4 linked regions of the Struthio camelus genome follow. The main gene of each other region encodes a partner of the protein of the gene in region 3 in a complex. Links are inferred from orthologs where the notes say so. Each region holds a gene or a part of one and is shown on either strand. Other genes may lie near its edges.

The links.
Region 1: ARID1B (region 3) and SMARCD3 share a complex: the UniProt entries of both Homo sapiens proteins name them as parts of the neuron-specific chromatin remodeling complex. The link is inferred for Struthio camelus from reciprocal best matches to the Homo sapiens genes ARID1B and SMARCD3.
Region 2: ARID1B (region 3) and SMARCE1 share a complex: the UniProt entries of both Homo sapiens proteins name them as parts of the neuron-specific chromatin remodeling complex. The link is inferred for Struthio camelus from reciprocal best matches to the Homo sapiens genes ARID1B and SMARCE1.
Region 4: ARID1B (region 3) and SMARCC1 share a complex: the UniProt entries of both Homo sapiens proteins name them as parts of the neuron-specific chromatin remodeling complex. The link is inferred for Struthio camelus from reciprocal best matches to the Homo sapiens genes ARID1B and SMARCC1.

What each region holds. Positions count from the first base shown.
Region 1 is NC_090943.1:136,316-143,831, forward strand, and holds the start of SMARCD3 (SWI/SNF-related matrix-associated actin-dependent regulator of chromatin subfamily D member 3), read right to left. Parts: upstream 3,019-7,516; 5' UTR 2,787-3,018; coding exon 2,709-2,786; exon of another isoform or gene 2,696-2,708; intron 1-2,695. UniProt on the Homo sapiens protein: Involved in transcriptional activation and repression of select genes by chromatin remodeling (alteration of DNA-nucleosome topology).
Region 2 is NC_090966.1:7,066,631-7,074,457, forward strand, and holds the start of SMARCE1 (SWI/SNF-related matrix-associated actin-dependent regulator of chromatin subfamily E member 1), read right to left. Parts: upstream 3,001-7,827; 5' UTR 2,608-3,000; intron 1,612-2,607; 5' UTR 1,568-1,611; coding exon 1,561-1,567; intron 970-1,560; coding exon 926-969; intron 1-925. UniProt on the Homo sapiens protein: Involved in transcriptional activation and repression of select genes by chromatin remodeling (alteration of DNA-nucleosome topology).
Region 3 is NC_090944.1:78,519,939-78,527,434, reverse strand, and holds the start of ARID1B (AT-rich interactive domain-containing protein 1B), read left to right. Parts: upstream 1-4,496; 5' UTR 4,497-4,632; coding exon 4,633-6,474; intron 6,475-7,496. UniProt on the Homo sapiens protein: Involved in transcriptional activation and repression of select genes by chromatin remodeling (alteration of DNA-nucleosome topology).
Region 4 is NC_090943.1:1,277,912-1,285,560, reverse strand, and holds the start of SMARCC1 (SWI/SNF complex subunit SMARCC1), read right to left. Parts: upstream 3,002-7,649; coding exon 2,723-3,001; intron 1-2,722. UniProt on the Homo sapiens protein: Involved in transcriptional activation and repression of select genes by chromatin remodeling (alteration of DNA-nucleosome topology).

The sequences.
Region 1 (7,516 bases), on a different chromosome or scaffold from region 3:
TACTACTGGACAGTAGAAAACACATCAATAAAGAGATAAATCAGCCTAAAGATGGTCATTAAAGCCATGTTTATCCATAAAAATGCATAGAAATAGAGCAGAGAGCAAAAAAAGGACAAAGTGAAGGATGAAGCCTTAGGAAAAAAAAAAACCTTTCTCTCCTCCTACGGAAACAACGCATAAGACCCTGATGAAACAAAATGGGAATAAGACAATTATAAAAAAATTAAAAAACAAAAACAAACCTTGTTTACATAAGAAAGGGCTAACCAGAGATATAACAAACTATCAAAAATTCAAGCAGAATGAGGACAAAGTATTGTCCTTAAGATTGTTTAACCATTAAGATATTTCATACTACAGGGGTGTCCCATTTGAATGGGACAAACAGGGAAGAAGACTCCTTCTAAGCTGGCAACGTGGAAAAGAAGAACAAAGGCAAGATGAAGTATCCAAGAGCAAAGGGCAAAGTGACCTCAGCAAAGGAGAATATGTTTCCAGCAAGATCAAGTGAATCCAAATTCTAACTGCCCTCAGGAAATGCTGCAAATTTTCCTTTTCGTTAAAGCGTTCACATAGCAAAAATTTTTCTCACAACATTCTACCTCTATTTACATCCCCCCTATCTTTGCCAAAAAAATAATGCCTGCAATAATCAAATAAGTACAAAGATAAAATACAAAATAAATAACTTGAAGAGGAGGTTTTTCCTGAAGTGAGAGTAGAATCTGACTCCAAGGAATTCTGATAAAGTTTCATTTTTCAAGGACTTAATTCAAATGCTGCCACACTGTATGTGGTAATAAAACTGAATAGCTAGCAAGATGTGAACACAAGGCAACAGCTGTGATGGCACATTCATTTATTTGGGAGAACATAGGACCTGAAGAAGTAAAATGAAGTATGATTTTTTTTCTCTTTTTTTAAATAATGGAAGACTGACTACCTCAACTTGTGCTTTGATCAAAAGTTACCCGAGACGAGGAAGAGACTGATGAAAAGAACAAATAAGGAAGCAGAAGCCAAACTGAAGAAGATCATCATGGAGGGTAGGGGAGGAGAGGGGAGGTAAGGGCAGGGTCACACAAGAAGCGTTTCTGGCAAGAGAATAACAGACAAGAAGCCCCAGCCTCACTAACAGGAAGAAGATGACATACAAATGCAGATATTTCATGCAAATGCAGATATTCAAGTAAGATGCCACTAGCGGCTCAATTCCCAGTGCAAGTCAGATTTCCTTAGTATCCAAATAACTAATGGAAACCACTTCTACTGTATTCATTCTGGTATAAATTAAAAATTCCAGTGCTCAAGAGGACAGCATGCTCAGCTAGATGTAGAAGAAACACATTCACGTAACTATTTTAGCCACTCTTCTTGATACTGAAGGAAGTTTGCTGGTGTGCAAATGCAGTAGAAAACAGAATGCCTTTTCCTGGGAAAAGGGAAAAGCATTCCACATGCCAACGCCTCCCACTTTGCCTATGCTTCATCCTTTACTATAGCCATCCTAGCTATAGTAATCCTGAGCCAGAACATCTTAATGACTCCACATGTCCACAACAAAACCACTGCCACAAACCTGCACACCAGCTATTTGATTGTCTCTGTACATCTGCCAATCTAGCAACAGACTGCTCCTGCACATTGGCACCAGGTCATCTGTTCACTGTTCTCACAAAAACAAAATGCCACCTAGAAGTCCTTGGCCTTGCAGGTCTCACCATATCCAGGATCTGCAAGTCACCAGCTAGATTCTATGCATCTGGAGTAAGCCTGAATTACAGAGACAATTCTGCAGCCTGCAGTGAGCTCCCCAGATTTCTATGACTGTTGCACAAGAACCTCCACCTGATGTCTTCAAAAAGATGTCACAAGAAGGTGCCAGAATCCTCAAGAGAGAAATCACCCAGGACTATTGGTAACCAAACAATATCTGCATTCTTTTGGACTTTTCAGTAATCTTTTTTTTTTGTTGTTGTTGTTAAATGTATATAAGAAATCCACGTTATAAATGGTGACTGCATTCAACCGTTTGAGAGTCATCTATAAAACACGGTCTCCAATGACAGTAAAACAGGGGTTAGCATTTCCCCTTAAAAGGAGACTGAAGATCCGATTCTTAAACAAAAGCTAGAAAATTTTTAAAGACCTCAAGGATTCCTTTAATTAACCATGGCACCCTGAAATTCTCTTGTGGGTGAGTGCCTATAGACTGTTGTAGATCTGCAGAGCTAATCTCTTCAAGCCCCTGAAAGTCACCTGTTAAGTAGCCAGAGGATACATAAGAGCCAAGTCTGGAGACAAGAACCAGAGGCAGTACCACAAGGCTTCATCAGGCTTTCATCAGAATTGTTTTTCAAAACACAAGTTTGATTACAGAACAAAGTGTCCTACAAGCCCATCTGGGTCAGATCCAGTGCAGATTCTGCACTGTGAACAGGCTCAAAAGAACGCTATTCACTATTCACTATTCATGGAGAATCAAAGCAAAAATCACAGCACACATCCCCCCAGACACAAGCCTGTATTATCAATGAATCAGTACATATTCTGGGGGCTTTGCAGACCCCGGTGCTCTCCTGGCAAGGCAGTTACCAGTGCCCCAAGAGCACGTTTCAGGAGCCAATCCAGCCCAGCACAGAGCCTCCAGTTTCCACTCATCCCTCTATTCAGAGCCAGCCAGCTCACTAACTTTCCCGACTCACCACCCCATGGACCAGAAACTCAAAAAGTTTGCTTTTCGTAGCTTTGCGAGCCCCTCCTGTAACTTCATCTGTAGCCATCAGGGTCTGCTCAGCCTCTCTCACTCTCTCTCTTCCTCTTTCTTTCCCTTTTCTGCCTTTTTCTCCAACTCTCCCCTCTGAGTCCTGCTGGGCTCTCACACTTCTAATAGCGCGGAGTGGGGAGGGGGCCCCTTCAGGGCCTTCCTGACGGCCCACTCGCGCTAAGCCTCAGCTGCTGCATTCCTCCACTGATAAGCCAGAAATAGTTTGTGCTGCCGGGTTCTGTGTGTTTACTCTGCAGGGACAGAAAATCCAGCTTTTTAAACCTCTCTGTCCAAACACCAGAGATAAGCAGGAGGCAAACTGAAAACACGTCTCAGCTTTTTAGTAGCAGCGCTGCAACCTCTCCTCCTCAGCACAAGGGGATGGTAAATTCTGGGGCAAGGGGGAAGGGGGAGGGGGCAACTTCAGCAATGACATAAACTCAGTGCTTCACGGAGAGACTTTTCCCATTAGAAAATGCAGCAGGCAAGCAGTGAGAAACAATGGTTTTCCCTTGCTCCCACTGCTCCTCCTGCACTGCATTTCCAGGCCTTTTCCCCAGAGACCTGGCAGGCAGCACACAGAAACATTCACTGGCAGCGTTTCCAGCACATGAGACTGAGAACTAACCCCTTTGGACGAGAGAGAGAAACAGCAGGAGGCAGAAAGCTGGGAACAGGGAGGGACGTGGTGTGAGAGCGAGGGGAAAGAAAGAGTGCGAGAGCAGCAGAGGAGGGGGCGGGGGGCAGCATGGCGGCGGGGCGCAGCGCCTGCTTCGCTCCTGCCCGCCCGCAGCCTCCCCTCGGCCCGCTCTCGGGCCGCTGCCATACCGCCGTGACGGGGCCATCAGAGAGACCCCAGGTGGCTGACCGACTCCGACACTGCTAACGCCACGGCTGCCATTACGCGTCAGGGCTGGCTGCTGCCGCTCACACAAAGCCCCGCGCACGACAAGGCGCCTGGTCTCGGACCCTGCTGGGGCCGCGGAGCCGCCGCCGCCGCCGCGCCTGGGGGGGTGAAAGCGGGGCGCGTCGGCCCCGGCCCTGCGCTGCCCCGCTGCCGGCTCAGGCCGGGCTTGAGGTGCAGCGGCGGCCATTCCGCGCAGCGGCGCCAGCTCCTCCGTAATGGCAGAGCGGGTGGCGGCGGCCCGGGCGGCGATCTGCCGGCTGACAGCTCCTCCGTGCCTGCGCTGGCCAGGCCTGATGGCTCCCGTCGGCCTACCACAGCAACAGAGGACTGTTGCCAGGCTGCGAGAGGGGTTTATCTTACTCCTCGGCTTGAAATTCTTGTCTAGGGGCTATGAATTTTCTAGCAAGGCCACGAACAGAAGAGAGTCAGACCTGAAACAATTAAATAAATAAATGTCTGCCCTCAACTAGTACTAACAGCAAGCACAGAGAAGACACAGAATCAGCTGGCAGTGAACAGCAAGCCGCGAACATCACACAGCCCTCTGCACGTGGGGACGAAGGCAACGACCTCCACTGATTTTCAGGGTGACCCCAAACTGAGCACTACTCTGTGGGGATACCCATGGGAATTACAGGAATTTTGGGACGGCAGGCATTGCTGCCTGTTCCCACTCCCCCCTCAGCCTAGTCTGTTCACGAGGAATACGCCCAGTAAAGCAGCATGGCCTTATTCTGTGCAAAAACCCTTCCTGAGCTTCTGGCTGCCTTGAATCAAACGCACTTTATCTGGAACCACACTGTGCGCTGCCAGCACGGGCCTGCGTCTCTGCAGCCTTTTGGTTCCCCAAAGCACACACTGCCATTAGCTCCTGTCTTGCGAGCCCTCTCCCCTGCTCCCAGCACAATGTGCTGTTTCTTCCCTAGAGATCACAGCAGTTGTTGGCTGCTGCGCTTGCTAGAGTGCCGCAGCTTTCACTGCAGTGGGATTACTGACACGTGTCTTTGTGCAGGTGTTGCTATTGCCATTGCTGGAGGGGAACTGGGTTACAGTCCCGATTCTGAGAGAACAGTACAAACAAGCAGCTGAAACATGCCTAAGCGCAGAACGGCTCGCAGGAGGCTTTAGGCATCAACTGCCGGACGCGGGCTGACGGCCTCCGAGCGGCTCCGGCGCGGCCGAAGACCCCGGCGCGAGCTCCCCGGCCCCGGCGGCCCGGCCAGGCCCCGGGCCCTCGCCTCGCGGCGGCCGCCCGGCCCGGCCCGGCCCGGCCCGGCGCCGCCCGCGCTGCCGGCGCCGCGAAGCGGGACGGTCCTGGCCCCGGGCGGCCGCCCCAGCCCCCCGCCGTGGCGGGCGCGGCTCCGGGCCGCGGCGCGGCGCGCAGTCCCCCCTCGCGTCCCCCCGCGCTCCTCCGCCAGCACCGACGGCACCGAATGGCAACGGCGCGCCCGGCACGGGCAGGGCGCGCGCCAGCCGCGGCCCCAGGCGCGCCGCGAGCGAGCGGGCGGGCGGGCGGGCGAGCGGACGCGCCGGGCCGGGCCGGGCCGGGCCGGGCCGAACCGGGCCTCCGGCGGCGGGCGGCGGGCTGCCCGCGGGCCCCGGGCGCGGCGGCGCGCATGCTCGGCGCGGCCGCCGTGAAGGTCAGCCCGCGGCCTAGCGGGGACGCGCGGGCGGGGGCGGCGGGCAGCGCGGCCTTAACCCCTTCCGCGCCGCGCCGCGCCGCGCGGGCCCGGCCCGGCCCGGCCCGGCCCGGCCGCCGCAGCGCGCTCCGGCCCGGGGCGCTCCCTGCCGGCGCGGAAGCCGGGCTCGCCGCTCGCCAGCCCGGCGCAAGGCGGAGCCGGGGCGCGGCGGCAGCCCGCGGGCGGCTCCCGCTGCGGGCGCGGGCGCGGCAGGCGCCTCTGCCCGAGCGAGGAGGAGGTGCGCGCTGCGGCTGCGGCTTGTAGCAACAAGCTACAGTTGCCCCATCTCCCTCAGTAGGAGTCTTTGCTGCATTCTGCAGCAGGAGGGTTTATGCTGAAGTGTTACTGAATTTCAGTGCGATACAGTACAACATGAGTTGTGTTCTAGCTGGATGTTCTTCACGGGAATTACATGAAGAAATTTCCTTAAAAGAACATCAGATAACAAGGTCAACCACACTTGAAAAGTAGGAGATGGTAGATTCACTGTTGCCATAGACAGAGTAAGTAGAAGTCCTGAGGGAGAAAAAAATGCTCGTGTAATAATAAAACTCGGCTCTTGGCACTTGATAGTTCTCAAGGTGCTGCAGAAAAGAAGTCAGTATAACTGTCGCTTTTTTTTTGCAAATGGAAACTAAGGTACAAATGAATGGAAGTGACTTGCCCAACCTTACCTAGCTGAGAATTAAACCCATTTCCTGTGATTCTTCCACTCACTACAATGCTCTAAGAAAAACTAGTGTATAATGCATGTGCACAAAAGGATGAGGGGTACAGTGCAAGAATGAATTCCTCCAAATTACAACTGCTTGACTTTGTAAATTAAATACTTTTGTTTTAAATTTGTTCTTTTTTTTCTATTTTCCCCACATGTTTTCTCAGAAAATGTAGAAAGTAAGTATGTTAAAAAGTGCCTGGTTCAACCCAAGTATCTTCCCCAACTGCTACAACTATGTGGGCAGCTCCTAGACATTTCTAGTCTAGCACGTCAGCAGCATGGGACTGACTCTAGAATAGTTGTATTCCTTTACTAGTTTTTAAAGGTTGAGCACACTGTGGAGCTCCCTCAATCCCTCCATCCTCCCTTCAGGCTCCCTTTGTGTTATATTCCTAACTCATTTTATTTCAAGGAAAGCCTGAAATTCTCCCTCCGCACCTCTTCTTGGGGCTCTGGAGGCCACTTCTGTCCAACCTGTTTTTTTGCTTTGTTTTTCTTTTTTTAAAATTCTGTGCTATTATTCAAGCTTTTAATATTTTTAAACTATAGTGATCAGGCTATAAAAGCTGAAAAGATAAGGTGGTGTTTTTTGATGATATGTTTGTTACTGCCTTCAATTTTCTGATCTACAGGTGATTAACAAAGTAGATAAAACTGCTGGTTGTCCTAAAGAGGCATGGTTTCTTTCATCCAATTTTCACTCAAGTCAATAGGGCTCTGTCCACTGAAAGGTAAAATATTCTCTACAGTTTTAGAACTGATGTAATATGCCATAGAAAAAGTACTGAAAATCAGGCAGAAAATGTCCCAAGGCTGAACCTTTGCTTATTGTAATAATGTTTTTTCAAGAAAAAGAAAAGGCTAGGGGAAAGAAATAGCAACTAGGTCCTGAGTTCAGAATTATTCAATATTCTCATTAACAGTCTCAATAACAAACAAGATAACAGGCTTATTAAATTTGCTAGCAGCATAAAGTTAGGGGGCGAATTGTAGGGGTGTACTAGGAGAGAGGACTGAAATTAAAATCCTGAGAAGCTGGAGAAGTAGTCTGAAAAACCAGGCATAATTCAATAAGAAATACTGCAAGGTTCCACATCAAGGCAGGAATAATCAACTACATAAATATAAGATGGAGAGCGACTGGCTAAAGAGTAGTTTTTGAGAAAAATATTTGGGGATCGTAACAGATCATAAGCTGAATGTGAATCAACACTATTACACCCACACAAAATAAGCAGACAAATCATAAGAGCATTAGTGGTGAATGCTGCCTCACTTCTCTCTTCCCCTTGGTTACAGCAGAAGCAGTGACAATGACACTATAGATTCTTCTTTTTCTCCTCTTCTCATTCTATCTCTGCTTCTTTCCCATCCTTCCTCCTCTTCATGGCACAAGCAGTCATGGCTCAATTGTAATAGTGCTGAGGAACTAGCACTGCTGT
Region 2 (7,827 bases), on a different chromosome or scaffold from region 3:
ATGCCTGGTTCTCAATGCAGGAATCCAGTTATAAGAGCAGATACCATCATAGTTTTTGTAATATTCGCACAATCTATAAAGCTGTGTGCAAAATGAAAACTCTGAACAAACTATGCCAAAAGCAGTAAAATATTTTATTTTCATAAGTTTTTAAGAACAATCTATGTTTATACAATATAGCATTTCCAAGCCTTTTTAAATGTGATCCTTTAAATTCATTGCGCCAGACTTTACATTTCATCTAGATCCCATCCTGCACTTTTCATCCCAGAGGCACAGACGAAAAACACTGGATAACAGTTTTCAAATTTTCTTTGGTCAGTAATTTCACTAGCATCCTTACTTTCTCTTTTGCACAAGATTAGTACTTTCTCATGTCAATGCATTAATCCTCAAAGGCAAGCTATTATAGAAATGCAAATGCTACATAAGATTCATTTGCTTTCAGGTGCTTTTCTGACCTCAGGACATTGGTATTTCAGTACCTTTTTTTTTTTTTTTTAAATGTACACAACTGGACATGATTCAAAATCACCTCTCATGTTTCTGTAAGTGTCATTCCAGACTGTACAGTAAAATATTTTTCATGCAACAGACCAAAAATACCAAGGATTTCAAGAAGTTTGAATAAGACTGTCATCATGAACGTTTTGTTATTCTGAGCCAATATAACAAAGATTTGCATGCCCCTGCATTCCACTGAAAGTCAGCTAGGTAGGTACCACAGAAACACCAAAACACATAGTGCTTTGCCCATGCTTTGGGCATGAAATTTTAGAATTAAGTGTATATCAGTCTGTTCTTAAATATTCCAGTATATTTTTGCAACACAAGCTGTGAATATGATTTCCGACCCAGGGCTGTGGTAAGTTATTAAAGGCCATATCACCAGATCTGTGTTAATGAGAAAAATCACTATACTTACGGTTGCGGGAGCTGGGGTAGGAGGTGGGGCGTAAGATGGCCTTTCTGTTGAAAGATAAATGCAAGCAGAAAGTTTTTTCTTGAAAATGCGAATGAATTCTTTATAAGGCATCCAGAGTCCCAAACACTTCAAAGATTTACAGAAGACAGACAGAGATCCTGGCCTCAAAGACTTACTTTCCACTATGTCATTGAAGATTGTAAAACAAAGGATAGGAGAGAGAGGAGAAAAAAAATCCCACGCCATTGCCAGATTGCTAGCCTTTTATTTAGACATAAGATTAAAGACTATAAAACATATTTAAATGAAGATCAGTTAAAAAGAGGGTAAGCAAAAGTGTAGTGAAACATCATTTAGGAGAAACTGATATCTGGATTGTCTATGGAAACAGAGAGTTGTACTCAAAAAGTAGTCTTTGATATGTTATAGTATGCTTTAGAAATAAGCAGGAACAGGCTAAGGTCCAATCACACCTGAGATGCCAGAAATCAGCCACAAGCAAGATTTAAGGCCAAGAGTTTGGTCAGAATCATTCCTTTTCACACAAGGAATGACAGAATTATCTCACAGTTTGGTTCTTGCTGATTCAGATCTTTAATTCACCAAATTAAAGGAAGAAAAATCTGAAAACTTACTTGACATTTTGATAGGCAAATTTTCAGCCACCTGACATTATATTTGTAATTCTGAAAAACAAAAGAATATTATGCTATTAAATGTTAAGCTTTCCCAACTCTTTGAAATTTCAATTATAATTACCATTAATTACTAAAGAAGATTTGCAAATTTTGGAACAAAAACAAAACAAAGTTTCTGAAAACTATAGGTGATATATTATTGCAACATGAATGTGCTTTCCAAGGAGTTTGGCCTTAAACAGCTGTGATTCAGGTTTATGTGATCTCCATGATACAGATTTTAAGTATAACTTTTTTCCTAAGCAATAAAAAGGATACGTATCACTATTTTACACAGCCTGCTTCAGAAACCTGGTCTTAATGTATGAGCGACCTCACTAAATATTTCCATTACGGAACAGGAAAAAGTAATCACCAAACATGATAGAAGCTATAGGGTTCTTCATAGCATCGGCTATGGGATGTGAGAGATTTAATCTCATTCAGCATCAAGCTCGTAAGCGTGTCAGGGAAACACACAGCAATAAAGCAGTGTTCTTTCAGCCTTCCTCTTAGAAGAAGTCCATCAAGATTTCAATAGAAGTTAGGCCCGTTTTGGCACTACGTGACGGCACAGCGGTCTTCGCTTTGACCTTTCCTCGTTTTTCGCACCGAAACGCTCACGAAGTTCAACGGGGCAGAAAGGCCCCTGCGTGCACCACGGAGCAGCCGGTCTCTGAAGCCGGCCCAGCGTTCCCGCTGCCTCCAAACGGGGCCGTGCCCGCTCCCGGGAGACCCGCAGCCGGCCCGAGAGGCACCGCTCGACCCCCCCCCCCCGCCGCCGGGCGGGACCCCCGGCGCCTCCCCGGAGGCAGCGCAGCCAGGACAGGGCCCCCCAACGCCCGGTGGCGAGAGGCGGCCGGGCCGGGCCTGCCGCCTCCCAGCCCCTCCCGCCCGCGGCTCCCCAGGCCTCGGCGACCCCCTCGGCCTGCCCCCGCCGCGAGCCCGCGCTGGAGGAGGCCGGGCCGGGCGAGCTCCGGGCCGGGCCCCGCCGCCCCGACTCACCGGCTCCGGCCCCGGCCGCGCTCCCTTTGTTCCCCACAGGGCTGGGGGAGGCCGCGCGGGCCGCGCCTGCGCCTCGGCACTTTCCACACGCAGAGCCTCCGCCCCGCCCTCGGCGGCGGCTGCTGCTCGGGCTTTACCGGAGAGGCCGCTGCGCTGCCCGTCTCCCCTCCGGTGTCACCGCCGGGCACAGACCCTCCCCGCACGCCCGCAACCCGCCGGGAGGAAGGGAAGCCGGAGCGGATTGTGGCGAATCTGCGGCACACAGAGGGTAAAGGCAGCGCCGGGCTCTGCGCGCAGGCGCGGCTCCATCCCGCCCCGCCCCGCCATTCCCCCAGCGGGGTGGTTTCTCAGCCGGCGGGGCTGCCCGCCTGCCTCGCGTTCCCTTCCGCACTTTCCACACCCAGCGTAGCCTTCTTCCCGCCCTTCCGCTGGGGCTCGGTAGCGCCCGCCGCCGCTCGGGTCGCTGTTAGCAGGTCCGCGGCGGGCGAGCGGAAGGGGCGGGCGGCCGGGTTGCCGCGTTGTCTCCGCGTGGCGAATCTGCGGCTGAGAACGTCCAGGCAGGCGCGGGGGAGGTGAGGCCGTTGGCGCCTCGCGCCCGCCACGCGCCCGGCGGCCATTTGGCGCCTTTTCGGCTCGCGTCGCCTCAGAGGGGGAGCGCGGCCGCCGGGCCGGGCCGGGCCGAGTCCCTCCGCGCGGGGCGGCGGCGACGGGACAGGAGACGAGCGGGAAGAGCCGGGCGCAGCGCAAACGGCCGTGAGGGGAGGGGGAGGGGGAGCGGCTGGAAGAGGCGCTGCTGCGCTACAGCCTCGGGGCCTCGATGTCTCTCAGGAGCGGGATAAGGAGCGTAGGTGACCTGTCCCGGCAGCGCCGAGGAGCCGTGTGTCTAGAGTGGGCCGGACCGTCCTGCAGCCACGGTCCGGGAGGGGCATGGCTTTGAAGAGAAGCTGAGCGGCAACGGAATTTAGCCCAAAGTTTGCTCTTGCTTAAGGTGCTGTGAGGGAAAAACAAGATTTTTCTGGGTCGATGGAAGGGCGTAGGCAAAAGAAGGTCTAGAGGAAACAGGTCGGCCTGCAAGAACCGCATGATGATGAGCATAGCGAAGACTAAACATGTGGCCTATGGGAAATAATTATAAATCTGTGCAAACTTTAATTTTGGACTATATCGGGCTGACCAGCTCAAGTACTTAGCAGCTGAGTCATAGAAGACTGTGAACTAGGGAGCTCTGAAGTAATCCGGAACGATTTACTGCATGAATATGCAAAGGTATCATATATGCAGGTAAAAAGCCTGCAAATACAGAACACAATACACCTTGCAGCTCTGAATGTCTGAGGAGCAGAGCAGTTTCAGACCTCAGTGTTCCACATATGATGGTTTTGCACAGTGAAAATTGTTAAAGTGACTGAGTTCAAAATAAAAATATAAAATTGGGAAATGAAATGCTGTCATATGGCTAATAAGATAAAATTCTAGACACCTATGAAGGAAGATTTGGGTGGGCCTGGCGATATGGCATCTGAAGGAAAGCCAAACAGTGGATGTTCCTGCTAAGACAGTACGCAGAAACATCTTTGTTTTTTTGAAAAAAACCTAACTGAATAGGATCCTGTGTTACTGCAAGTTAGGCCCGTTTCTTGATGCGCACTGTTTATCTAAACAAGTTTGTTCTTAAATAAGCACATTTCTGTGAACACAGAGACAATGATTCTGCCCTCATCTGCTTACAGTATGCTATCTATGGCCACGGTGGAAATTTGCTGAAGAACAATAGAATAATCTGCAACTTCCATTTGGTAATTAAAAGAATGTAAGAATCCAAAGATTCCTCAGATAGTCAGCTAGATCAGCCTCTTTTTAGTCCACCAGTTTCACGTGGATAGAAGTTTGTGAAGAACAGGTGAGAAAATACTTGTTAAAAATAACCTAGTTTTATTCCTGGCTGTGACTGCTTCATGCATTCCTCTGTAATTTATTAATAACTTGATTTTGCTGATAAAATGCTAAGACAGTTTCCTAGTAAGTAGTTATTAAGAGTCTGTTTCTATACGCTGTACGCTTGTATATGCCCAGAACGAAGTCAGCGCTGACCAGTAGCATGTCTTTGACCTTTGCACTTGCTAGGCAAAGGGGACTTTTCGTGAAAGGCTATTCTGTTCGTTCTTTCTGCATCAACACTTTGTGCAGCGTTCTAGTTTATGTATTTTCTTGCTAACATCTATAGTCCTCTTTGACAGTTAGTTAAATTCCACTCTCATTTTCCCAGGTCAAATGTTAATAGAGCTAATGCTTTGAATTTAGCAGGAACCTTCGGATGTCTGCTAACAAGACACTGCTTTCAAATTTAATTTCAGTGATATCAAATATTCAGTGATTTCAAATATTAAATTTTAGCGATATCAAATATTCAGTCAAGTAGACAAAAATGATTAGGAAAACTAAGATGTGAGGAGCGAGACAAAGAGGAGTTTGAAGAAGTGGTTGGAGTTTGTTGTACGACTGCACCTGTCGCTGAGACTCAAAAGCCTTTTATTTTCCTTAGGTGTTCAGCTGAGTGAGAATGCCTTGAAGTTACATTGAAAGATACATTTATTGCATGTAGCATGACATTTTCATTCTTCCTATTCAGAACTTGGTATGGTTTTGGCAAGAAAGGTGTAATTGTGTTCTGTGCATAGAAATTTTAAAATGATGAGGTCAATTCTAAATTTATGCAGCTTGAAATATTTCATATGGTTTTCATGTATGCTTCCTGATAATCACTGTCCATGCTCATAGAACCGAATCATTTATATATATTTTCAAAATTAGCAATATATTGCTTGCTTTATGTTTTATGTTTTTCATTTTGCTATTCATATGAATCAGTTACTAGATTGGTAGACCTGGATATCCAAGTCATCTGTAGTCATACCATGGCCTTTCACTTAGCTGAGGAGGACAGTTTCTGGCATCAGAGGTTGTAGTATACTTTGCAATGTACTGCATGACATGAGTAGTTTTACTGATGTAATAAAATTATTTATATAACATCCTCTTTAATTGGGGGGACGGGCTCTACATAGTTGGCTCTTATCCGACTTCTGAGACTTCTGTTTTTTCCGTTAGCAACAGTTTCTTAAGCTTTGTAATTAGGACATATATTCAGTGGCAAGTAGGTTGAGACAATCAAACTCATTTTTACGGCAGACGTTTGCAGGTGTTAGATGGTAATAGCCCAGCTTGTCTAAATTTAATTAGCATCTTAGCAGTGAAGAATTCTTTGCCATAGTATTAGGCTTCAATATTGCATTTTTAAATTCAACTTTAAAGTGACCTGAAATCAGGGCAAGATGTTACTGTGCATACTGCTTTTTCCTATGCCCGCATGGCATTCTCAGTGGCACTTTTTGTAAATATAAAACATTATAACGGGGTTTGACCCAGTTGTTTCAAACATCAACCAGGAGTTGTGTATTTTATGAGTAATTGAGTTCAGTGGCATATAATGGGAACTTACGTGGGTAAAATAAATTTCTCGTTCATGGGACAGCTCATGATGTAGTTGTACGGTTGTTAAAGTCGGGGAAATGGCTTCAGAACCCGTGAGGCCCTTATACGGACAAAATAACGTGTATCAATAAAGTCAACCTTTTTTCTATGTACTCAGTTTCCCGGGCCAAGTTGATTACTCTAGATCTAAACAGTAATTTTTCTCTTTCAAAATAGCGCGTACATTGCATTGCAGGGTTGGGTCAGATATGAGTTCTGTACTATGCTGGGGAAGGCTTCCAGCATTAGTGAAAAATCTAGAGTTGCACTAGATAAGCTAAAAGCACAAGTATTGTGGTTCAGAGAGTAAGCCAAACACCCAGTGGTAAAAGGCATGTACGTACTTGCTATTTGTTTCTGCTTCTCTGCTGTCTTTTGGATGGTAAAGTGTGTATGCCAGATGCTGTCTGTCTTCTTTTTGTGTGCAGAGCTCAGAACAAAGGACTTGAGATGTAGTCAGGGCTACTGGATTTTAGCAAAAAAGAATAATTGTTGTTGTCCAAGAAGAATACACACCCTGCATGCATGTTGTGATAAAGATTCTTAGGGAATATGGGTCTTACCAATTGTAGAGAAGAGCTTTAAAAAACACTCAGCTGCAGTGCTACAGATTTGCTTATCAACTGCTTTTATTGTATGTTTTTCTATTTTTCTATTACTCCTTTCTTCTTGAGACATATATGCCAAACTCACAAAAAAAGCATGGGCAAACTCAGTTTTATTACTTTTTGTTGTAGTGCTATCATTTACTTTGGTAAATTCATATCCCTGTTTAAAGTGCCTTAAAGCAATTAAAACTTAGTTCAAATTCAAGTATAGTAAAATGTACACAGTATAAGCACAAAAAAAAGCTGCATAGTGAAAATGCGAGGGCAGGCTATTACATTCAGGATGCCAAATACTCAAGTATTAACAACACCAGATCAATATTAAGGTTAATGATACTTAGTCAGCTTTATACAGTAGATACAGAACCATGGGCAGTATAAAATGCGTTGTTTGTACCATTAACAAAAGATAGAAGCATAACTCAGTACTGGAAAAATTTGCAGTATCAGTTTTTGTTACACATGCCATAAGTAGTAAGGCAATTACTGACACTTAAAAGAAATTTTTACATGCTACCATGGATCTAGTAAATATTGTATGTGGTTTTCCTAGATTCCGAGCCCCTGCAATCCCAGTGACTTAGACTGAGTTAGTTTGTGGCATCAGTTCCTCTTAAAAATCGTCATCAGCAGTCGTTCATATCTTAATACAATTTTGTTTGAAATTTGTTTCATAACCTCGTAAAGAAAATATGTCTGAGTTTTATTTCTATTTTTCCTGTGTAAAGAGGTAAGATCATCTGTTGTACTTTGTATTTGACCAAAGCTACTTTGAAAAGTGACGGCGGTACCTAATACACATGGCAGAATTTTACCTTACACAAAGAGCCCTTACTTTGTCTGTTTAAGTGAAGCTACAATAGGTGTACCCTGGCATAATAATGATTTGTTATACGTACTAGATCAAGAGCATAACATACCTATAAGATTTTTCAAAGGAGGGATTTATTGAAGTTGTTTTAATTCACGTTGTTATGATATGTGAGATAGATACCATTATTAAAAGTGGTTGATTGACTCCTTAAATTTGAACAGTTCAAAGGTATAATTTTACTTAGTATGGCTAAAAGAGTTATAGTAG
Region 3 (7,496 bases):
TTACAAAATGGGTTGAGCTGATATCTCACCAAGGACAGACTTAAGAGCTGTTTTTCCTAGAGGCCTCAGTCCACAGAAGCACTTAATCAGGTCTTAACTTTAAGCAAGTGAGTGATCTTATTGACTTCAGTGGATGATTCGCATTTGTAAAACTGAGGTATTCAAACATTGTATTCAAATGGCCTAAAACCAGCAAGGAAAAAAATTGCTAATGTTACAATTCCATGATAAAATAATACATGACATTCTTGAGATGGAGATGGTGATGTTTCTAAGTCCTTTTGTTTACACATTGCCAGAAGAAATTGATTACATTGCCCAGAATTAGTGTCTGCTAAAGAATAGATTTTAATTACCTGGTAGAACGTGTCACTCTCTACACGTTTTAGGCCACAGTCTGTTGGCGTACACTGTATTTTTTCATTGTCTATTATGACCAGCTAAAATAAAATTATCGCACTTACATATAGCCTTTACACCTAACTTAACAGGTAGGTATCCACTGTAATAGCTTACATATTACATTCATGTCTGAAATATAAAATAAATAACATACGATGAAGAAAATATTACTTTGCTATATATTGACCACATAAGGGTCTTCTTAAAAGGAAAATCGCATTACTATAGCACCAAATACCAAGCTAAAGCATAAAGCTAAAGCACTGACCTGGCTACATACTTTTCTGTGATCTGATTTATGCCTCCTTATTGGAATCAATTAAAAGATTTGCACTGACTTCAGAATGATTTGGATTGGATGTTTAACTAGTAAAAGACGTGATAATTTAATAAAATCTCAATTCTCTCTTTTTTTTCTCATTAAACCTAATGCCAATCTGAAAGAAGGAAATTGAGAATGATGGTGAATTTGACAACTGTTTCATCTAACTGCACAGTGAATTTAAGCATACAGCACAACCAGAACCAGACAAAAGGGATTTTTGCATGAAGGAATTTTTCTGACCTTTGTGGGTATTAGGTCAGATGCAACAGGGTCTTGATGCTCTGACTGGATTCTTACCTCACAGAAAAAAAAAAATCAAAAAGCACAATATTGCTGTTTATTCCGATATCTCTAAAGGTAATAACGCCTCCATGCTGTTAAAATATTGTTTTATTTTCTGTATATCTCTTTACCGTTACTCTTTATATGATCTAAAAGCCACTGTTCTGACCAAACAGAAAGATGTTTGCCTTACTGCTGTGAAACGCATCTAACTTCCATACTGGCAAGCTATGCACAGACAGCTTAGGGTGTCTGTATAAATGTCATAGTCAATGTAATAAGTAAACAACAGTAAGTTTAGACAATTATATTGTTTATCCTGGAAAGTTATCCCAGAACACAGGAGTTTATAATTTATCAGGAAAAAATCAAGAAAAAGAAACCATGCTTAGACAATATTGCATTATAGAAAACAATTAAATTGAAGAAACACTGAAAATTGAACTAAAGTTGAAACTACGCACTTGCGATATTAAATATCAATGCAATCATTTTGCAGCAGATTATATGCATGACAATTAGAGCTTTTTTTACATTCTATTACAATAAATTCATAATTCATACATATAATGAGAGCTTTTGGAAGGGAGAATTTGAATTTAACAAACACTACCACTCATCATCTGAGCAAAGATGGCAAAGGGAATTTCAACATTATTTGTGATCTAAAAAATTGAACCATCGTTGCTTTGTGTTGTGCTTCCCTTGCACAGACTGCAGTGCCTTCTGTCTGCTTTAGGGTGTGGCATCTGCCATTGGGGAGGAAAAACTGGCATGTGTTGCCTTTTATAGCAGACTGATTTCATTGTGCTGAGGGCCTCAATTTTATAGCCTCTTAGATCCAATCTCGTAGCCAGCCTCGTTGCTGAAACAAATGGAAGGAAAAGGAGTTAGTAGCATAAACTCTTCAGTTTCTAAGCTTCATCTTTTTTTTTTTTTCTTTCCCAGGAAAAACGTCTTGAAGTAAATCTGCGTTAAAACTTTGTGGCTTATTTTCCTGTTCAGAAAGAGTTGTGGACTATGTCAGGAAGTACTGCAGTCCTCAACGGAGGCACGGTCAATACATTTATCAGATTTTAAATATAAATATTTTTGCTTGGATATAAATGTCGCAAAGTATAAATGTGTAATTGATTTTTTATTTTATTTTAGAGTACACATGTAAATAAATACACACAAGTAGACATCTATATTTATATTTGCATATGAAAGACTTCAAAAAATCAACTTATGTGGTTTAATGTGTATAATTAGTGTGCGTTTGAATATAGAAAAGAAGAAAATCCAGGAGAAAATGTCAAAAAGGCTCACTAACAAAGATGTAGTATTCTCTTGGCAAAAGCTGATGAATGATTTGGCATGAATTCATCTTACAGTTCTGTTATTCTCTCTCCTACAAAGATGATATACCCCTTTCTAGCAGTTTGCATAGAATTGCAATTTGTTGTTGTTACAGACTGTAATGACCCTTGGGTATGCACCTGATTCTCCCCACTAGAATTACTCACCGTTTTTTTTCCCACTCTGTTTCTACTAGCCATATAACATTTTCGCACTTGCACAGAGTACCAAAAGAGAAAACGAAGAAAAATATGATTGTAATAGAAGTATTATCAAGATGTACTTGATGAACACTGAGACTTTAAAAAACTAACTCCCTAATGGAAATCAGAACATAGCTGACTTTTTCAGACAGAGCTAAAATGAATAGACACTGGAATCACACTGTTTGCACATTTATCAATAATCTTTGCATGTAATTCAACATTAGAGCATGAAGCTTCTGCTCTTTAATGTTTTCACAGTGGATATAAAAAAGGCCTACCTACTTGTGACAGCATCTTTCTTGGTATACTGTATTTTTCTCTATCATTCCTATTGAATTTCCTATTTATCTATTTTGAAATTTGAAAGCACGGTCATCTCTAACAGAGCACATAGAACAATTCATTTAAAACAGCGTATTTCAGACCCTTGCTATATTGAAAACATTCATTAACGTCCCAGTTTGCTATGTTTGTGCAGAATATTTGATTTTCCCACTGCTTTTCTTAGTTGAATGTAGTGTATGACTACTATCTTTTCTAATGCTAAGTTATTATTAAGATAGTTATAGAAACCCCTCCAACACATTCTGAAAGAGTGTACAAAAATGTAGGTCAGCAGCAACAGTTTAGCATTTGGAGCAAAAGTTACTTTGATTACATATTTTGTATTACTAGGTTTTCATGAGTGCTTTGTGCATACTAGAAATTATATTGTTTGGGGAAACAGTTATGAGGCTCAAAACGTCTCACTCCCCTTGACCAGCTCCTGTTGATCCGCAAATAAGCACACAGAACATACTGAAAAGAGCCCTATGTATAAAAGCATCATCAGTGCAATGACCATTAGAGTCTGGAGGCAGCTGGGCAACGTGGCCAACTGCAAAGATGCTACTGCCGCAGAATTTTGGGTTACATTTTATAACCCTTTGCAAAAAAAACAGAAATCTTCCCGGGGGGGGGGGAGGGGGGAGAAAAAAAGCATCCTATTTTTCCATGAAACGGATGACAGGATTTCCCTGTCATCCGCGTAAAATGAAAATGCGTTTGCGCGGCACATCCCGGACTCAAGGGCAGAGGACTAGAGCCTTTCAAAGTTTGACCCATTTATTTCTATGTATTTAGCGCAGCCAATCTGGGCACCGGCAACGTGCGGGCTGCCCCCGTCTACCCGGCCCGGCCGGGCCCGACCGCTGAGCGCCCGCGGGCAGCCCCGCCGGGCCGGGCCGGGCCGGGCCGGGCGCCTCAGCGCGGCCGCCTCGGGCCGGAGCCGCCGTTGGGGCGAGGCCTCGGCCGACATGAGTCCCGCATGGGGTTGCCTCCTCCGCGGAACTTGATCCCAGAGCCGGCGCCCGGCTCCAGCCCTGGGTGCGCACAGAAAATGACGAAAATAAATAATAATAATAATGAAAAAAAAACCCCACCAAAATCTAAGCAGGGGCGCGAAGGGGGCCGCGCCCCCCACTCCTACCGGCCGCCCGGCCCCGCGCGCCCGCCCGCGCGTGCCGGCACCGGGGCCGCGGCGGGCAGCGGCAGCGGCAGCGGCAGCGGGAGCCGGCGCCGCGCCGAGTCCAGTCCGCGTTTTGCGAGTGCGCGGGAGCGCTCGGCGCGGAGGGGGCGATGGCTGCTGGGGCTCGCTCGCTCGCTCGCTCGCTCATGCCATGCTGGGCCAGATAGGCTCAGTCAGACGTGTATTTACCCATATCCGGGTTAGGGAGGAAAAGAAAAAAAAAAAAAGTTTCATTTAAACCTGAACAAAAAAACTTTCAACATGAAATCACACAGCAGGAACAGGCACAGACCGTAAGGCATTCTTACCATTTCTAATCTCAATCACGGACTCGGGGAGGGAAATTTCTGTAATTTTTGTGCGTGTGGAGTGATCCGCAGGGGATACTGTTGGCTCAGTTACGTCTCTTTCCCCCAGCCGTTTCTCTTTTTGCCCCTCTCCTCTCCTTTCCCTCCCCCCGACTGGCCCCCCTCCCCCCTTTTTTTTGGAGGGTAAGGGGTTTTGTTTTGTTTTGTTTTTTTGTTTTTAATTCTTACTACTAATAATTTCTCCGGACTTGCAATGTTGCAATGATCATGGCCGCGCAAGTCGCAGCGGCTCCGGCGGGTGCGAACAACAGCAAGGGCAAAGCCCCGAGCCTGCCGGGCAGCCTGGGCCCGGAGCGGGGCCCGGGGGGGGCCGGGGCCGCCGCCGCCGCCGCCGCCGCCGCCGCCGCGGGGGCTCCCGGGCCCGGCCCCATGCTGGGGGTCGGAGACGGGACTCCCACCGGCGGCAGCAGCCTGAATAATGTAGATCACCATCTCCTCCAGCACCACAGCGAGCCGCTGAACATGGCCAATAACGCAACTTCTGCCGCTGCCACCGGTAACAACAGCGGCGGCGGCGGCGGCGGCGGCTCCTCCTCGGAGCCGGCTCTGAAGGAAGGTGGAAGCTCCTCGGCGTTATCTTCTTCTTCTTCTTCCTCCTCCTCCTCCTCCTCCTCCAACCCGGGCCCGGCCATGGAGACGGGGCTGCTCCCCAACCACAAACTGAAAAGCGTCGGAGGCGATCACCCCGCCGCGCCGCCCCACCACCACCACCACCATGCCCACCACCCGCATCACCATGCCCACCACCACCACCACCACCACCACCATGCCCACCACCCGCACCACCACCACCATGCACTACAGCAGCAGCTAAATCAATTCCAGCCGCCGCCGCCGCCGCAGCAGCCGCCGCCTCAGCACCATCCCATGCAGAATAACAACAGCAGCCTCGGCGGCGGCGGCGGCGGCGGCAGCGGCAGCAACAACAACGGCGGTGGCGGTGGCGGCGCTGCTCAGCCCAGTGCAGACATGGAGCAGCAGCAACATGGAGGAAAAGACAGTGTTTTGGGCACTCAGGCCGAGCCCCCGCAGCAGCCGCAGCAAATGCTGAATAAAAGCGCCGACGAGGAGGAGATGCCCGGCAAAATGGGCGAGCCCATCGGCGGCCGCTACGAGCACCCCGGCTTGGGACCCCTGGGCGGACAGCAGCAGCCCCAGCAGCCGCCCCAGAGCGCTGGGAGCGGCGGCGGCGGCGGCGGCCTCGGCGGCGGCGGGAGCGGGGGCGGCGGCGGCGGCGGCGGCGGCGGCCCCTCCGCGGTGGGTGTCGCGGAGTTCAACAGCTATTATGGCAACGCTGCCCCCGCCGCTGCCGGCAGCGCCACGGCGAGCCGCGCCGGGCCTTGCTTTGATCAACATGGCGGACAACAAAGCCCCGGGATGGGGATAATGCACCCCACGGCGGCCCCCAACAGCATGGACCCCCTGCAAAACTCCCACGAAGGTTACCCCAACAGCCAGTACAACCACTACCCGGGCTACAGCCGGGGCCCCGGCGGCGGCGGCGGCGGCGGCGCGGGAGCCGTGGCGGCGGCAGCGGCGGCGGCGGCGGCTGCCGGGGCAGGCGGCGGCGGCTACGGGGGCTCCTCGGCGGGCTACGGGGTGCTGAGCTCGCCGCGGCAGCCGGGCGGCGGCATGATGATGGGCCCCGGCGGCGGCGGCGGCGGCGGCCTCGGCAAGGCGGCTGCCGGCGCGGCGGCGGCGGCGGCGGCCGGCGGCTTCCAGCGATTTTCCGGGCAGAACCAGCACCCGTCCGGGGCCACCCCTACCTTGAACCAGCTGCTCACCTCCCCCAGCCCCATGATGCGGAGCTACGGCAGCAGCTACCCCGACTACAGCAGCCCCAGCGCCCCGCCGCCGCCGCAGCCCCAGCCGCAGGCAGCGGCAGCCGCCCCGGGCAGCCAGCAGGCAGCGGCGGGCATGGGCATGGGCAAAGACATGGGCTCCCAGTACGGAGCCGCAAACCCGGCCTGGGCAGCGGCGCAACAAAGAAACCACCCGGCTATGAGCCCTGGAAACACCGGGCAGACCATCAGCAGGACCCAGGTAACCCCCCGCGCGGGACCCGGGACGGCTCCCGCCTCCGCGCGGCTCCTGCCCGCCGCTTAGTTGCTGTACAATTCACTTTTCTTGCTTTCTTTACTCTTTCCTCCTTCCTCCCCCCCCCCACCTTTCCTTATCTTTCTTTCTTTTTTTTTTTTCTTTTTCCCCCCTCTGGGCCAATTCAGCTACTCGCTGCCTCCGTAGCCGGGGCGAGCGGCGCACAATACGCGGCCCCAATTAGGCTGGAGGCATCGGAGTGCTGGTTTCACTGCCGAAAATTAGGTTGTTCTGAAACCCAATTAACAATTTTCCCTCCACTTTGAAATAGCGATGCAGAGGCGCAGGGCCCAGAGGAAAAGCAGCTTGGGACGAAGAGGGATTTGGTAACTAGAGTGTCAGACCCAGTGGGTTCTTGGAGAATAATATTCATTATCTTACAGCAGGGCCTTTTTTTTTTTTTTTTTGGAAACAGGATGAGTTGCTGTGGAGCATGCTTTTAGCAAATTAGTTTGTCACTGATGGAGTTACCGCAGTGAAATCCGCTGAAAACAGCCGGGTTCCTTTTTCTGTTGGAAGAGTGTGTATGTGCGTGTGTGTGTGCGTGCGTGTGTGCCCTGTGTGTATGTATATGCGCCGTAGTCGTAAGGGCTCGTGCGATACGCATCGAGGTGCGTGAAGTGCTCTGTTCTCGTGCGTTAGTCCAGCAGCCTTTACAAGAGTGGCACGGCGCTGAGGAGCGTGCCCGAAGTGAATACGTGCACGAATAACTGTGTTTTTTCTCCCCAACACGCACGCGAAAATCCGTAGGCGGTGGGAAGACCGCAGAGGTCCTTCGCGCGGAGCAAACGGGCGCGGGGCGCTGCGAGAGATCGCAGCGTGGCCCTGACGGACGTGCCGCATCCCCGACGAGCTCGGCCCGATAAGTCCCTAAATCGGTAGGGAGCGAGGCGGTGCCGGTGGAGTCGCGCCGCTGTAGGTCGCCGCTCTGCCGGCGCCCGGGCCGCGGGGCGCGGCGGCGAGGTGGT
Region 4 (7,649 bases), on a different chromosome or scaffold from region 3:
CTTTCAACACAGGGAACGGGAGCAAGAAGAGTTACATATATCACACATACAAAAAGAGGGAAGGACATAGAAGGTCGGAATACACAATTTTGTTTTCTGTCATTATGCTTGGTGTCACTAATACTCCATCCCCAGTACTCCTTCCATCTTTATAAGCATCCTCTACTCAATCAGCTGTTTCTCCCCTCCGCAACACAAACTCCCAATGCACGCTGTCTTTCTGTACATCAATGGAAGGGCCTTCCTCACTGTCAACACTTTAGCTAGGAAGAAGAAACAGGCCTCAAAAGCTTGTTCCTCAGAAAGCAGTACGTCCTCTAACAGCAGAGCAGGGTTACAATACCCACGTCATTACCTAACAGAATTTATCACCAATAATCTCTACTGATAGCGATTCAACATACTGTCTAGAAAACCCCTATAAACTGTGAGGAATGGGTTTCCTAAGAGTCTGTGCAAGTCTTTCACGCTACTATTTAAACCTGTTGCTTTTTGAGCTATACTCTAGAGACACGGAGAACATCACTGTCTTGCACTTGTCTCTAGGCAAGTCTTCAAATACACAAGAAGGAAGAGATGCACAATCGCCGTTCTCTCACTCACTCCTTGCCCATCATGACTTCTGGACCTTTGATCAGGCTTGCTGTTCTCTGGATGCCCTCCAATTGGTCCACAATTTCCTTGGGGGCTTCCAGAGCTGGACACAATGCTACAGGTTAAGGTTTTACCAATGGAGAGATGTATAGATAGCAATTTTTAAGAGCGTATGATGGGCATATGTCACTTGTAATCCCCAAAGTACTCTTCTGAAATACGACATACCTGCTGCAAAACTGCCACCTGAATTACAGGAAACAAGAGTAAGAATGAAGTATCCACTATACAAAGCAGCATTTCCCAAGAAGAATTCAAGTCTGTTAGCTACAGTTTAAAAAGGAATTACCGATTCCATCTAGAGTTATCTTTAAACATTAGTACCAATAACCAATTTCCTTGTTTCACAAAACAAGGAGGACTTCTAGTTTTTGTTCTTACTTTTCAAGGAATTGATACAGCAATATCCGTACTGGGCAAGTAAATTTCAGATGTCTGCTTCGGCCAGTTCTGTTTACCTTCCAGAGTTTAAGAAGTAAATATAAGCATCTAATCTTTCTAATCAGTAATAGCAATTAAGTATAAAGTAATTATAACATAGAGTTCTGCTTCGATCTACAAAAGGAAAGCTCCCATCCCTGTACTACAGATAAGAGCCCTGCCAGGCTACAGTAAGGTGAGCACTAACTCATCTAGATAGTTTTCACTGACAACAGCAAGGGACGAGTAGAGTTAGCAATAACTGTTAACGCTTAAAATAACGCGACTTGGGAAAGCTCATCAGCAAAGTGGCACATGCCAGTTCTAAGCCATTTCAGAATCAAGAAACTTCTTATAATCTTGTCGATAATCCGTCACGACAACAAAACGAAATAACGTTCCTCCTCAAAAGTCTAGAAACAGTGGAAAAGGCACAATCAAAACAATAAAAGGTCAAACTAAAGACACCGTTTTACACTATTATTTCTTTATCAACACAGTTTAAGCTGCTCACTCAAATTATTACTGGTCCCCCGTTGCGCTGATTCAACTCTATGTGGCTGCACTCTAAAGAGATACGCAGAAAGACCGGTAAAACACACCTCTAACCATGTTGTGTTTTTATTTTTAAACCCAGATCAGTTCACACACGCGTTTCAGAGCGCTGCCGCACAAATAATCAAATCAACAGCACCAGCGGAGCAACAAGAGGTAAACTGGCCCATGCTTGTTTAAACCAGACCTCCCGAAGAAAAGACAGATTATATTTACCACAGATTCAGGGGACAGCAAAGAATAAAGCACACTCAGTTTGATTTCTACAAGGCGGTCCAGACACACACATCTGTCCTTGGGAAAGTTACTGTCAGCCAATTTTTCTCGACCTATGTATAAGGAATTGCACGGAAAGCTAGAAAACAGGAAAAACACCTAAAAAAAAAAAAAAAGGCAAGAAGCAGAACACAACAAAGGGTGGAAGAGGAACAAGGGTGCAAGGACAACACACAGCAAGCAACGGCGCTCCTGGATGGAAGTGAAGCAGCCATAACCAAAGCAGCAAGCATTTGGTTTGTCGCGTTTCATTAGATTTAGCAACACGCAGTTACCAACAGCATGAGCAGCCTTGTTTCCCCCCCCCCCTTTTTTTTAAACCCATTAACGCTTAAGGGGTGCGGCTTAAACGAAACCTAATATAACATCCTGGCAAGCCGCTCTAGGGACTTGTCTCCACAAGAAAAGTTACGGCTGCAGCTACAGCCGGTATAAACGCGGATGCGAGGCACGCGTTAACTCCGCGAAAACAGCTCTGATAAGACAAGGGGATGTCGGGTTTTTTCCCCCTTTTTTTTTTTTTTCTTTTTCCCCACCTCCCCACCCAGCCTGAACCGGCCGGAAACCTCCGCAGAGGGGTGGCTCGGTGCTGAGGCCGAGCCCGCACCCCCCCGGCGGCGAGGCGGCGGCTGACAAAGGCCGGCGGCGGAGCGCGGCCCCCCCCCCTCGCCGGGCCGCCCTGAGGCGACTTTCCCGCGCGCCGCGGCGAGCGGGCTCCGCGGGACCGTTAAACCGCCGCCTCGCCCGTTGTGAGGCGCCGCCAAGACCGGAACCGGGATCGGAACCGGGATCCCCCCCACCCCGAGCCGAACCGCACCTTCTTGTAGTGCTTCCCGAGCCAGACGCGGACCGAGTCGAGCTGGGACACCGTCTCCGGGCTCTCCCAAAACTTGCCCGTGGGACCGCCGTCCTTCCGCCGCGCCACCGAGAGCGCCGCCAGTCCCGGGCCGGCACCCACCGCTGCCGCCGCCGCCGCCGCCGCCGCGGCTCCGGCCCCCGCGGCGCCGCCGCCCGCCGCCACCGCCGCTGCCATTGTTACCCTCGCCGAGCGCCGCCACCGCGGCCCTGCGCCTCCCACTCGCTTCACTCCGCGCATGCGTCGAGCCCCGCACGCCCCGCCCCGCCGGGCATGCTCGGGAATACCGCTGCCCCCCGCCGCCGCCGCCGCCGCGCGTGCGCGTGCGCGCCGCTCCGCTCCGCTCCCCCCTCCCCGCGCCTCCTTCCCTGCCCCCGCGGCGGCCGTTGGGCGTCCGCGCTCCGCCGCGGTCAGCGCCTGCGCCCTCGCCGCCCCTCCCCCCCAAACGGCCGGCCGCCGCCACCGCTTCGGGGCGCATGCGCCGAGTTCCGTCCTCCTCCTCCTCCTCCTCCTCCTCCTCCTCCTCCTCCTCCTCCCCCCCCCCCGTGTGCGTCGGCCGGACTTCGGCGCATGCGCGCAGGGGGACCCATCGCCGCCACCACCACCATCACCTACCCGCCCCCCTCCGGCCAGCCTCGGCGCGTGCGCGCAGCCCTGCTCGCCGCCCCTCCCCCCCACCACCGCGCGTGCGCGTGCGCGGCGACGCCGCCGCCTCAGAGGGGCTCGCGGCGGCCGTTGTCGGGGCGACGCCGCCTCAGAGGGGCTCGCGGCGGCCGTTGGCGCGGCGGTGACGCCTCAGCGCGGCCGCGGCTCCCGCCATTTCCTCACAGCCCGGCCTTGAGGCCTGAGAGCGCCGAGCCGAGGCGGGGCGGGGGGTGACGCGCGGTGCCGGTCCGAAGAAGTGGCCGTGGGTTGAGGCGCGAAGTTGAGGGCGTGCTGAGAGAGCGGCCGCCTTCCCGCCTCGCTTAGGGCGCTTGTTCGGGTTCCTTGCTGCGCGAGCGGTGCGGCGGTGGGGTCCCTGGGTTTGCTGGGACGTGTCGTCCTTAGTGCTGGCGCGGCTCGGGTCGTTTGCCCGTGGTTCAGCCTCTGCTGCTGTCGCGCTGTGCTGGGCCGAGCTCCTGAGTAGGTTACCTGTGGCTGTGGAGACTGCAGCTCTGATGTGAGCTCCTTTTAAATCTCTTATCCCGGTAGAGAGGAGTTGGATGTATAGAGTGGGAAGTTAAACTTGTTCTGTTAAATGCCTCCTGACACTCATCTTTGGGCTAGCTGGTGGCCGTTGAAATTTCTGACACCACCGTTATGGCAGTAGATTTCTGCTGATATGAGAAATAAATCAGCCTGGCTGTTGCTGTTTGTATTATCCTGCTGTGGAAAGAGATGTCTGGGGAGCCGTTTACCTTCTTATATTTGCTACTCTGTCTTAGGAGCAGCGGACAGCAAAGCATCAGACCTCTGTATGGGATACCTGAAGGACATCTCATCCCGAGGTACTGCTGCAGAGATGTGACCAGGTTTATTGTTTTTTTTTTCCCTTCTGTATTTCTGAATACAGTTGGCCCATTGCTATAAGGACAGTTCTTGCATTCCTCGGCAGAGCTGAAATGAGCAGGCATGTCTCAGCCTTCGGACACCAGCCCAGGCTCTTTGTTCTCTAGTTGTTACCACAGGATGTGGTGGAGTGTTAGTGCCAGTGAAATCATTCCTGGGCAGCGTGATTGTGTGCGTTGTTCCTTCGGTGGCTAAAGCTTTGCACAGAAGAGAAAAAACGGCATTAAAATGAATAATGGTTGGAGGGGGGAAGGAAATGGAAGACCGGAAAACGGCCTCAGCCTTCAAAAAGGTTTGAAGCCTGTGATCTCCCCATTACGCAATGATTATACTGCTGAAAATAACAGGGTATGCATGTGATGATAAGCTGTCAAGCACTAAGCTTACAGATGGCTCTTTGTTCTAATTCGCTACTGCACCTGAGCTGGAAAGGGAAGCCGTTCCCTGGATCTGCTGGAAAGGGTAAGAATGACATGTACGGAGGGAAACAAAAGAGAAAAATATCATAATCTCGAGTAGTTCCTTGGATGGGTTATAGGGAGATATAGTATGTGGTTTTGCAGTCTGAGTCACTTAACGACAGTTTAGTGTTGGATGGCTTCGCAGCATGGCCTAGAGAAAACCATATTCACGCAACTCCAGGAGGATGAGTTGCTGCACAGGAGTAGAAAATCTTTTGGGGGGCAGAAATTCCTAAGGTCATAATTGCTATTAAGTTCCTCCTCTCTTGGAATCCTGATATATAGGACATACTTGTGTAAGTATGTAAGCATGAAGAAAAGAAAGGGGGAAGAAGAGGGGAAGGGAGGAGGACATAGTTGTACCTCAGTGAACTTTATGTGCCCTGATATTTTGTAAAAGCTCTCCGAAGAAATAAAATGAATTCAGATTCTGATGTTTATGACTGTGAAAACTAAGGAAAACGTTTGTATTTTAGTTACGTTAGAGAAGGAGATCTGGGTCTGCCTGCCCTGTAATCATAGGTTTCTGCTGTTAAGACTCATTCTCTTAGGTAGATTGGAATAGGATTAATATGGGCCTTGAAAGTGGAAAAGTATGGAATCAAGTATTTTATCTGGTGGAAACTGAGACTTTTGATGTGCCATGTAAGAACCTTGAGATTTCAAGGACGTGGGGAATGTTATTCAGGCCCTGCCTCCAGACATCTCAAATTATCTGCCTTTTTTTCATTCTGCCAAATTTAGAGTGTCCCTGCTTATCCTAATCTGAATTGTCTTTTGAGAGTGTAGACTAGCTTACCCCTCTGATTTATATGATTTCGCTGACTGTCACAGGGTAGGGAGAACTAGCTTTTAGCCTAGTTTCTTAAAGAAACGAGGCTTATTCAGTCATTTTTCCTGTCTGCGTTCCCAAACCTTCTAAGCGTTGGACCTGCTGACCGCCTTCAGTCATGCTTGGCAGACAACACAAATGCTGTGATTTCCTGGACAGCCGAGCGAGTAGTTTGTGCTCCAGAAGTGTGTCCTTTCCGCTCGGTCACCTGAGGCGTTCCAGGAATCTGAGCGTGCTGACCATTATGCTGGCAGTGGCATCATTTCCCTGCCTGTGGCAGGGAAAAAGGTTCAAGCCTGCAAACAAGACTAAGAAAAGAGCTGTACTTCAAGACTAGCTGACAGTTGACAAGGATGCGATAATCTTGTTTTAGGACGTGTCTAAGTGTGCGAACACCAGAGGAAGCAAAGGGAGAGTTCACAGTACAAGCAGGTGACTTGTGAACTGAAGCTCAGGTTTGCGTGGAAACTTTGAGAGGTTCAGTGGAGGTAGGTGATTAGGGAGTAAATTGGGTGCCTATATCTAGAACTGCCTTATGGTCAGTTTTGAGCCTAACAGGGTTCTCTTGGGAATTTATAGAAGGCTAATCAGAAAAAGCTGCCCTGCTGTGTGATCTCACGAAGAAAATATCTCATGGGAAGGGAGACCAGAGCAGGCAGAAGTGCAGAGAGTTCCTCTCTCTTAAGGGAGAGCTACAATTGCTCAGCATCCCACAGGGTGCTGCGTCAGTGCTCACAGGATCGTGGTCCTTCACTTCATCCCATACTATGGAGGATTGTAACCCCAGCAGAACAGAAATTTACAGCACGTGAAAAAGCTTACCTGGTTGGATTATGCTCAGTGGCGTTGTGAACAGTGCACACCTTGATGAAGCATCTGAGCACAGAAGACTAATGAGAGTTCTGTATGTAACCTGAAGGTAGCCAAGTTGATGCTGGCATCCCTTAGCAAAGAGGTGACAGTAGAGACTCGAGGTCTGCTTCCAGTCTTGAGAGATCTTGAACTTGCTTTCACTGTAAGCACAAGACCCAGCTTCCATACTGAGTGGAAGATTAAAAGGAGGAACATGTTGAAAGAAGACTCAGTACTGGCACAAAAGAAAAGTGGAGCAGTTGGTATTGCCTGAACTTGCCTGAACAGAGTTGGTAGTACTAATTTATAATCAAGGATATTTAGAAATAGACGAAACACTGACAGTCTTGCAGGATGCAGATGGCAGCCTAAGATGAGAAAAGATGCGGAGACATAAATTAAGAACCACCTACCTTGTACAGCCAACAAACCATTACAAAAGCAGTGAAAGATAATAGGGCCACAAGATGATTTTTGGACTGTGGAGGTGTTTGTATGTTGTCTTTTGGATCCCTGCCCCCCAAACTGCATGAAGAAACAAGTATTGGCTAGTAATAGCTGGCAAATTTACCCAACAGGTGGAAGCAGTTCTAACTCAAAACACAACCAGGGCAACTGCAAAGATACATCTGTTCTCATAATGGGGAGTCCCAAAGGAAGTTGAGACGTTAAAGGAGAAATTATGAAAGGTGTCAGACAGATTTAGCAGGGACTCTGCCTGTAGCTGCAGGGTCTCAGAGAAAAGCCGTCAATCGCTTTTTCGTCATCCCTAAGGCTGCACAGCCAGCTGACCTCCCCCCTGCATCTCCTTAACTTGGTGACACAGCTCCTCCACCAGCACACACCTCCTGCAGGCAGGGACATGCAGGCCTTTCCCTCTGCCCCAGCCTCAGCACCAGGCACTCTGTGCAGTGCTGCGTCCTCCTTTGGGAGCTCCATCTCAACAGAGGCCTCTGATGGGCCAGGGGTAGTTGCTGCAGTCAGGGCTGTGGATCACGTCACAGAATCACAGAATCGTTTAGGTTGGATGGGACCTCTGGAGATCATCTAGTCCAACCTCCCTGTTCAAGCAGGGTCCTCTAGAGCATATTGCCCAGGATCACGTCTAGATGGGTTTTGAATATCTCCAGCGAAGGAGACTCCACTCCCTCTCTGGGCAACCTGTTCCAATGCTCTGTCACCCTCACAGTCAAGA